3 linked regions of the Rattus norvegicus genome follow. The protein of the gene in region 2 interacts with the protein of the main gene of each other region in a biochemical or structural test. Links are inferred from orthologs where the notes say so. Each region holds a gene or a part of one and is shown on either strand. Other genes may lie near its edges.

Evidence for each region.
Region 1: the proteins of Tek (region 2) and Angpt2 form a complex in vitro, tested with the Homo sapiens proteins (7 studies listed by BioGRID and IntAct, with this or other methods). The link is inferred for Rattus norvegicus from reciprocal best matches to the Homo sapiens genes TEK and ANGPT2.
Region 3: the proteins of Tek (region 2) and Angpt4 form a complex in vitro, tested with the Homo sapiens proteins (2 studies listed by BioGRID and IntAct). The link is inferred for Rattus norvegicus from reciprocal best matches to the Homo sapiens genes TEK and ANGPT4.

Annotation. Positions count from the first base shown.
Region 1 is NC_086034.1:77,838,751-77,841,741, forward strand, and holds the end of Angpt2 (angiopoietin-2 precursor), read left to right. Parts: intron 1-1,622; coding exon 1,623-1,783; 3' UTR 1,784-2,491; downstream 2,492-2,991. UniProt on the Homo sapiens protein: Binds to TEK/TIE2, competing for the ANGPT1 binding site, and modulating ANGPT1 signaling. Can induce tyrosine phosphorylation of TEK/TIE2 in the absence of ANGPT1.
Region 2 is NC_086023.1:114,847,293-114,850,139, reverse strand, and holds the end of Tek (angiopoietin-1 receptor), read right to left. Parts: intron 2,411-2,847; coding exon 2,311-2,410; intron 1,549-2,310; coding exon 1,474-1,548; 3' UTR 606-1,473; downstream 1-605. UniProt on the Homo sapiens protein: Tyrosine-protein kinase that acts as a cell-surface receptor for ANGPT1, ANGPT2 and ANGPT4 and regulates angiogenesis, endothelial cell survival, proliferation, migration, adhesion and cell spreading, reorganization of the actin cytoskeleton, but also maintenance of vascular quiescence.
Region 3 is NC_086021.1:160,897,558-160,901,294, forward strand, and holds part of Angpt4 (angiopoietin-4 precursor), read left to right. Parts: intron 1-1,063; coding exon 1,064-1,302; intron 1,303-3,737. UniProt on the Homo sapiens protein: Binds to TEK/TIE2, modulating ANGPT1 signaling. Can induce tyrosine phosphorylation of TEK/TIE2. Promotes endothelial cell survival, migration and angiogenesis.

The sequences.
Region 1 (2,991 bases), on a different chromosome or scaffold from region 2:
TGAGTATGTGCTGTGCGACAACCTCCGAGCTGGGGCTGGCCTGCCTGTCAGCCTGGCTGAGTCTATGAGCCCCAGGTTTGAGAAGACACTCGTCTCAGGCCTGAGATGGCTCCTTGGGTAAACACGCCTGCTGTCAGGCCTGACATCTGAGCTTGATCCCGGGTTCCTTATGGTAGAATGTGAGAACTGCTCCTTACAATTCTTTGGTCTCCACATCATACATAAATAAAATTAATTAAAAAATAAAAATATTAAGTTCCTAATATAAGTAAAAGATCTAAGCTTGAACCATGTCTGTTCTTCAGTGAAGAATTTGTGCAGCAACAGTAATGAGAGGATTTATTTATGAAATGAAATGGAATTCAGAACTTGAAATCTCGTGGAAGAATTAGGTCCCACTGTCTGGCAGATCCTGGATTCTTGGGATAGCAGAGTGGCCACTTGGTGGCATGAGTTTTCTCCATTAACTATAATTATTCAAAGGAGAGAAACCCATTGAACTGTTTTGAAAAAGGGGGCTAGACTCTCATCTCACTGTAACAGCTGTCTTTACAGCCACACGACAAGGGGGGTGGGTGGGTTAGGGGGCCCCAGCACCCCTGATCCCAAGCCTGCTTGCTATTCATTCCCACACTTAGACCTCTCTGGAGAGGCTGCCTGTTCTCAGACCACCCGTGTGCTGCTATTCCAGAGAGCAGGAGAGCGCTTCACAACCAAGGACACAATTCATTTATTTACCCAGTTCAAGATTTAAGGGCTGAGAATGGAGTTGGGAGAGACTTGGGAGGAGGCAAGCAGCCAGGGGAGGGAAAGCGGGGAGGTCTGGGTTGAAAGAGGCCAAGTTCCAAGCCATGGGTTGGCCCATTGGGAAGGTGGCCTGTGGGGATGTGCACAGGAGCAGTGCCCGGGGTTCAATAGGTTTTTAAAAGAAGCTACCCTATTAACACCGTGTCTCTAAGGAAGCCTCAGAATTGGTGTTTCACCCCCATTCCTTACTGTCTACTCTCATTGTTTTCTGTATTTTAAAAGAAACATAAATATTATCATACAACCAGTCTCTCCCACACGAAGCTTAAAGATGAACTTGGATTAGTACGTTGTCTAGGTTTCTGCTTCATATGGTGAATCCTATGGCCTGCCATACTCCCACCTGTCGGTGGGAAGATGCTTACTGTTGCCTGACTCTCCCTCAGTACCAACTTTATAGTGTTAAGGCTCCGTTTCCCCCAGCTTCACAGAGCATAGGCACTTGGTTTCTACTCCATCCAAAGCAACATGACGGGGGAAATGGGAACCACTTGGCCTGCCTTGCTGTTAAGACTTCCACCCACATCTGCGGGCAGCCTCTCACGTCTTCACCCCGCAGTGTACCGCAGATGACAGCTCTTCACACAGCACTGACTGACGCTTCTTCACGTAGCAAGGGTTCTGCACAAAAGCAGCTAGACATGCGTAAGAACTCAGGTTACAATGGCACTGTGATCACCTTGGTGTGTAGTTTGTGTCTATGGAATAACAAATCAATGTGGCTTTTCCCACATCATGGGGGTGTGTGTGCCCAGCTGAGCCCTGTGGACTAGCGATTACCCAGTCCTGACTGCATTTGTGTTTCGATTTCACAGGCTGGTGGTTCGACGCATGTGGTCCTTCCAACTTGAATGGACAGTACTACCCACAAAAGCAGAATACGAATAAGTTCAACGGTATCAAGTGGTACTACTGGAAGGGGTCCGGTTACTCGCTCAAGGCCACGACCATGATGATCCGGCCAGCAGATTTCTAAATGCCTGCCTACATTATCAGAAGAACTTGCTGCATCCAAAGATTAACTCTGAGGCACTGAGAGACACCAATGCACAGTAGCCCCTTCCCACATCAGGAGGTGCTCCTGGGGGCGGGGGAGGATCTGTGTGTTCCAGACTGACGCACATCACTTAGGCCTGCACCGCTAACCAACCAAAGGAGACCCAAAGGCACTGCGGGTCTGGAGAAATACCTATGAGAAGGCCATGGTTAGAATCACAGGGACAGCATGCATTCGGACTCTGTCACAAGCAAGAATGTTACGTGGGAGTTCATCAGTAAATAACTGGAAAACAGAACCCTCAGATGGTGCAGATAAATCCCGGGACCACATTACTCGGAGCACGTTTCTACAGTGTACACAGACACAGCTCAGCTGTCCTGGAACCACAGCAGTCAGTCTCCAGGGACTTCTAAGTAGTGGTTACAGGTTATCATCTGGATAAGCACAGTTCGTTGTTCCGTCTTGTGCTTGACATGTTCATTTGGAAACAACACATTTACCTATCTGACGGCTTAGTTTTTAATGGCTGGACACTATTACTATACGGCAAAAATGCCTACATCTCTGGAGTAGCCACCAAGCGGGCGCCATGTCAGTGCATGTGGAGACTGTACTGTTTTTGTTTTCTTTCTGGCTGTTAAATATGAAGGTATTTTTAGTAATTAAATATAAGTTATTAGCTGAGGTGATTATGTTTAATTTTTATGGTAATATATACAATTTTGCTCTTTGAACACACACACACACACACACACACACACACACACACACAATCTGTGCTTGTAACGAGGAAGACTGTTATAAAGGACAAAAATGCAGTTTTATGAAGAGACTTCATCCCTGAGCCAGTGCTCTAGCCTAGAGATGTGCTCCCTAGTTTAGCGAGATAATATTTTAGAAAATGAAGCTAAAACTTAATTTGCGGTTGAGGAAAATAATCCTTCTTAGGACATTTACAAAGCTGTAATTCTCTGAATTAATTTTTAGAAAAAGAATAGTTTGCATTAGTAACATTTTTAATATCCACTAACAAACTAAACAAGTGTTTCAGAACATAAGGCCAAAATGTCCAGCTTGCAACGTAACCAGATACCCCTAGAGAATTCTTCAGAGCACAACTTTACACTTGGAACGGTTAGACCCCAACTCCTGCTGTTCTAACCCTCTAAAGCTTGCAGAGTGGC
Region 2 (2,847 bases):
GCACTATGATGAAGCTAGGCCATGTAAAACTATTGAATTTCTATAAGCTTATAGAATGAAACACGGCTTTGAATTTATTATAATCTACATTCTGTTGCAACTCCCTTCTATGTAACATTTTTCTATGAGATAATTTTTTTTCTTTCTTAGAAGACTTTTGTCTAAAAAGCTACAAAAAGTTGAAAGCAAAAATAAAGGTCTGGTGTAGCCCTTTTCTGTTTCATCCCGTGGTGTGTGTGTGTATGTGTGTGATTTGTGTGTGTATGTGTTCTGTTGGCATTATTCTCTCAACTGAGGTTGGTACTGAGGAAAACCACAGGGATTCTCAACAGCTAACACGTGAACATCTACTATGCTGGAGAAAGTTGCTGGGGTCTTTGATGCCTGCTGTGTTCAACTTCTTTCTCTCCTATGAGTGAAGCTAGGGCTGAGTGGATGCAGTTGGAAGTCTGCTCCCCTGAGGTAAGACAATAAATTAAGAGGTAGAGCTACAGAGCTTACCAGTCTTGTGTTCCTTGCTTTCCTGCCGTGGGTAGGTACTCACCAACTCCATGCATCTTAAGACATCTTCGTCTATTTTTATGAGATACACTCCTGGACAGAATGTGGGTAGACAAGACATTTATTCATCTACAGGAGGAACCATTGCAGTGGGTGGCTACCGCATCAACAATAAATTCACAAGTGATCAAAACTACAAACTTTTACACTGTGTGATACATGTGGGAATATGACAGTGTGCGATACATGTGGGGATGGTAACTCCATGTCACAAATGTCACACGTTGCTCCTAAATTCCTAGTTTTACTTCTTAAAATATACAACAGATTACTAGAGAAACAAAATGTAAGTCCCACCAATTTGTTTTTTGACCTTATATCTCTCAGAAATTTTTTAGATGTTAACATTTTGGAATGATTTGGATGCTGTAGAAACACAGGACAAACTGTCTTCTGTAGGTGAGGAGCAGAATTGAGAGACCCTCTTCCCTGCTGCTCTTGTGTAGTAACCCACATTCTAACACAATTCGTACAGTTCCCTCGCTTTTCTTCCTGTGCTGTCAAGGGAATGGTTAATGAACAGTATCTTATGTATAAACAGCAAAACACTTTTATAACATTCAGTTATGAAGGAAAATATCAAAAATATCTAAGACAACAAGTTCTGCATTACAGTATTTGTACTCACACCTTCCTGGGCAATCCATGTTTTTAGAAAAATATATTATATGAAACCACAAGCAGGCATTCTGATCTTAGCACATTCTTACTCCAAACAGTATATACAGTCATATTAGAGTCAGAACATACTACAGATCCATGAGAGCTATATGATGAGGGTCCCAAACACATAGCACAATATATACACTTCTATATCACATCTCTTGGCAGTGGGTTGCTTGCTTAGAACAGGTGTCAAGGCGCTCTCGTGCCAGTGAAGAGAAATGGCAATCATGCAGGAAGGATTCTGCCCTAGGCTGCTTCTTCAGCAGAACAGTCAATTCCTGCGTAGGTAAACTTCTCATAAAGTGTGGTGTTCACGTATGTCTGAAATGAGAAAGGATTAGAATACACCACATTGTTTCTGTCTCTTCCAGAAGCAGCTAGGTTAATGTCCTGGCTTCCTTATCTTTCATAGATGGGGTGACACCTTTTGTTCTCACTCACTCTCTCTGTATGTGACAGTGTTTTTGTTTTCTTGTGAATGTCATTCCTGGACTTCTAAATAAAATTCCCTACACCCCCTGGCCTTAGTTTCTAACCTCCCTTGGTATCTTATTGGCCGCTTATAAAAAGGTCAACTAGTGTAGGCTCCTTCCCCAGGCCACAGTTATTTTTCCCCTCTCTCTGCATGGATAACCTTGCTAATCTAGATTTATTTGCCTGTTGACCCCTAAATTGATGCAGGCAGCTACTTTTAAAAAAATGTTTCAATAGACTTTCATAACCTCCAAATAGTAAACTATAGGCCAGATTTTGTTGTTTGCGTATTCTTGGCCAAAGCCCTTAACCTCTTTGTTTCTTCATCTATAAATTTAAAGGGACAGGCCGCATGAATAAGATTGCTTCCAGCTCTAAGAGAGAACTTGCAGGTTACATTTTACTGTATGTATGAGTGACTATGTCTTATACAGAAATCTTATTTTTCCCTAAGTTCTCAAAGTTGGGGAGCATATCCACTATGCTCCCATAATCCCTTAAGCCTGTTCTTAGAATAACTTGTTGAGTTGTATCAATGATATTTTAGTGATCACTTTGAGCACATCACAGATTCCCAGGGAAAGAGGACTTGCATCAAATTGTGCTCACCTTTCGTTCTTCCAGCATTCTGTTTAAGGACACCAATATCTGGGCAAATGATGGTCTCTCATAAGGCTTCTCCCTCCAGCATTGTCTCATTAGATCATACCTTTGAACACAAAGAGTGTAAGGATTACCTCTGAGTGTGCTTTAGGCCTGGGTATACCATAGGAATGAAGCGTAAGGCAGAAGGAAAAACAAAATTAGTCACCAATGCAACATTGTCGGGCATAAAATATATGTACTCTACCTAGAAAGTTTCCAAAGTACCTTCCTCTCGCCCTTCAAACACACATCCCCTTTCTTCATTTGTAGGTATAGTGCAGGCTTGTTGCCACTCTTTTAGAACTTTGATCTCAACTATTATAGCCATGCAGAATGAACTGAGTTTCCTGTTTATAGCAGCATTTCTTTTGGAATACTACCTCTCTAAAACATTAGTTCCCCTTAAGGAATGCCCATATGTGTACTTCACAGAGGTGGGACGTTTAGAAGTCCTGACACTAAAAACAAATGGCATCTTTAACCAGGTGCAATGGACCAATT
Region 3 (3,737 bases), on a different chromosome or scaffold from region 2:
TCTACCAATGCTTCCACATTTCATCTCCCACAGACAAGAGAAACGGCCTGAGGAGGAGGAGGAGGAACTGCGTGGAAAGCTTCCTTTTCTTAAACACTTCTCTGCCCTTTATACCAGAACGCGCCTGGGGCTTGTTGTCCCAACAGAGCTGCATAGTGTAGGGGATCTCAGAACACTTGCCTGGGCTGCACCCCGGGTACTGCAAGCAAGTGAAGAAAGCACTACGAGTGCAAACCTGTCTCCTGCACCCATTCTCTCTCCACAGAAGCCCATCCCAGCCAGCGTTCTCCTTCCTTCCTCTCACCCCTGAGGCTCTTAGCATCTTTCCGCACCCTGTCTGTCTGTCCCCAGCATCCCCATCCTGCTGACCCCATGCATTCCTGTCTTCTTCCTCTCTTCTTTTGTCTCCCACACTTGAGATTCCACCAGAGGCTCTGAGAGGCTGGCCCCACCTCCCCTTCCTAACTCTTTTTTTTTTTTTTGGGTTCTTTTATTTCGGAGCTGGGGACCGAACCCAGGGCCTTGCGCTTCCTAGGTAAACGCTCTACCACTGAGCTAAATCCCCAGCCCCCCCTTCCTAACTCTTAACGAGTACCTTCACCTCTGTCCTTCCCATGGCTATGGCACACTCCTGGGAAAGCCACAACAGAACAGACCCACCAGTCCTGGTTGCTGGGCATCGATGATGCCTCTCCTCTCTCACACATAAGCAGTATCATGCCCACACTCGGTAGAGACTACCTCCTTTGAAGTGGGACACACAAGGTCAAAGACATCTTTCCTGGGCTTGTGCCCCTGGTTCCCGGCTTGTTGGGTCCTTCCATCTTGACCTTTGCTCACTCCTTTTCATGTGACTCTGTTCTCTCTCTCTCTCTCTCTCTCGATCTGAGCTATAGTGGACACAGACTACCGGGCTGTGTGACCCTGAGCCAGACACTGAACGTCTCTGAGCCTCTTCTGCACAGTATGTGCAGCTGTCATAGTCAGCCCCACCAAAGCTGGGGGTGGGGTGAATGCTTGGAGTGGAGACCTTAGGCTCACCCCTATGTGTCCCACCTGGCAGGGCCCTGGAGACCAGGCTGCAGGCATTGGAGGCACAGCATCAGGCCCAGCTTAACAGCCTCCAAGACAAGAGGGAACAACTGCAAAGCCTCCTGGGCCATCAGACTGGGGCCCTGGCTAACCTGAAGCACAGTCTGCGAGCCCTCAGCAGCAATTCCAGCTCCCTGCAGCAGCAGCAGCAGCAGCTGATGGAGCTGGTACAGCGCCTGGTGCGGATTGTAGCCCAGGACCAGCACCCAGGTGAGCAGGAGGGAGTGTGCATGGGCTGGGGTGGAGAGCCAAAGACGGAAGGGAGACCCTGTGGAGCCTCCTCAGCCTCTAGGGGCCAGGGACCTATTGTGTGAGAGGCCAGCCCTCTCCTACCATTTGCAAAAGAGAAACTCAGTGACCAGTGATCATACTGGCCACAGCAGCCACTAAGAGTGTCCAACTCAGACTCTGCCCTTGTCTCCTGGGAGATCTTAGCTCTGCCTCTGTTCCGCTCCTGGCCTCAGTTTTCCCATCTGTTGAATGGATATGGTGATAACAACACAGGCAACCACAGCCTACATTGACAAGTCTGTGTCCCAGCTCTTTAAAAAAAAATAAAACAAAAACAAAAACAAAACAAAAAACAGGTCTTATATAGTTCTAGCTTGGAACTTGCTATGTAACGTGGCCTCAGACTCACAGAGTCCCACCTGCCTTTGTCTCTCAAGTGCTCAGATTAAAGGCATGTGCCACCATACCCAGTTATTCAGCTCGGCTTGCTACACGCTTCCGTGGGCCTCAGTTTCCCCAAAGAATGGAAGAGTTGGAGACAAATGCCAAGACTTCTCTACCCTGGTGCTCCTGTTCCAAGGCTTGCAGAGCCATATGGAACTAGGAAGAAATGTGGTGTCCCCAGCCTATCATAGAAAGGAGAACCATGCCTAGCTTGCTCCACAGCCTCCTTGGCATGCCTGGTTCTATCTGCAGCCATTTAATCACCAAGCATCTATTGAGCAGGCAGGCAGGGGCTTGGGTAACAGGGACTCAGCAGCACACGGATGTCGTGGTTTGTCTCTTGTAAAATTCCTTACTGTTTGTCTGGTCTCTGTGGGAAGGAGAAGGAAAGGGCCCACTGTCTGCCAGGTACACTTCCATAGCTTTCTGCCTTCAGCTTCCTCAGCTCAGAATGCTAAGGGGCTGAGCTACGAAGAGGGTACTTCAGTTTAAGGCCAGCAGGGGGCACAAAAGAGGCAGGATGGGGTGGGATTTCTTTTAGAGAGCGCAGAATAGTGTGGAGTGGATGCTAGCTTAGTGGGTGAGAAACCAAAGGGGCTCCTGCTGTAGGACAGTCTGAACCACCTTGGAGGAGACTGGACCTTCTGTAAGACACCCAGCTTCAATCAAGTGAAAGGGTCCCAGGCAGATAGTGAATTGAGGCAGAGGATCCCAGCGTGAGCTTACCCTAAGTCCAGCAGGCAAGGGAAGCCATGAGTGAGGGAGGTAGAGGCCTCCTAAACCTGAGGATAGGCAGTGAACAGAAGCCATTACGGGCTTGTACACAACCCTGGCAGCAAGACAATCTAAATGAGACCTGGGGGATGCAGGGGGGTGGGGGGAGTGGTCTTCCAGGCAAGGAACCTGGGCTGGGGCCTCTCCTCACAGGTCCACAGCTCTCCTGTCCCCTCCCACTGAGGCTGAATGACTGTTCCCTAAGCCCAATGGAAGGTCGTGTCAAGCACTTGATCACTCCTGAACTTGCCTGACTGACACCAGGAAAAGACTTTTCGGTGGTTGCTCTTGCCCCCTGTACATGGAGAACCCATGGAAGATTGATGAATGAGAGTCGGGCAGAGGGTGGGGCAAGGTGTGCTGAAGCCCGGTGGACAGTCAGGCTGGTTACTCTGCAGTCCTGAAGTGAGGACAGGGACACAGGCTCAGCTGTGCAAGGTGTAAAAGCATCATTCCTGCAGTAGTCCATTTGCCTGGCCTCCCTGTGCTCAGCCAAGACACCCAACCCCAGGGAAGGGTGGAGAGGGGAAGGGCTAGCCTGTGGAGTAATCGCCTCCCTTACCTTACAAGTCATCCGATAGGACACTCGCTTCAGCACTTCTCAGCAGAGAACACAGTGAAAGCCACGCTGGCCGGGGCTCTGCACAGAGCCTAGAGCCAGACCAGGGGGTGGGGTGAGGGGAATGGAACTGGAAAGATGAGAATCCAGGACACGCATTCCACCAAAACACTTCATTGCCATATTGGACCAGTTTTATTTTTATGCTGTCCCCTGTTTCATTTTTTCCTGACCCCAAGATGCTCCCGGCAAAACCTGGCTCCTAGGAAACCCCCCAACACAGTAGTCCCAGGTAAAAGCACTTTTATCGTTATCGTTGTTGCTTTTGTTCATTAAGGAAACGGGCTGTAGACAGAGCCTCAGAGAGAGTAGCTAGAAAGCCCAGGCCAGCTCCCGGCTCTGCCCTGATTGTTAAGTACAGTGTAGCCTGACTGCTTGCTTCCAAGCTATAATGCTTGCATTTGCTGGCCTCCCCTTCCCTGTGGCTGTAGGGATCTGAGGGCTGCTGCCTTGCTGGCACTAGAGATCCCTGACCAGAAAACATTCCAGACACTTCATTTGTGGTAAGAAGCATCAATCTTCAAACATGTCTTCCAATGCCAAGATCTGGGAGCCACCATCCAGGTGAAAGGCCCAA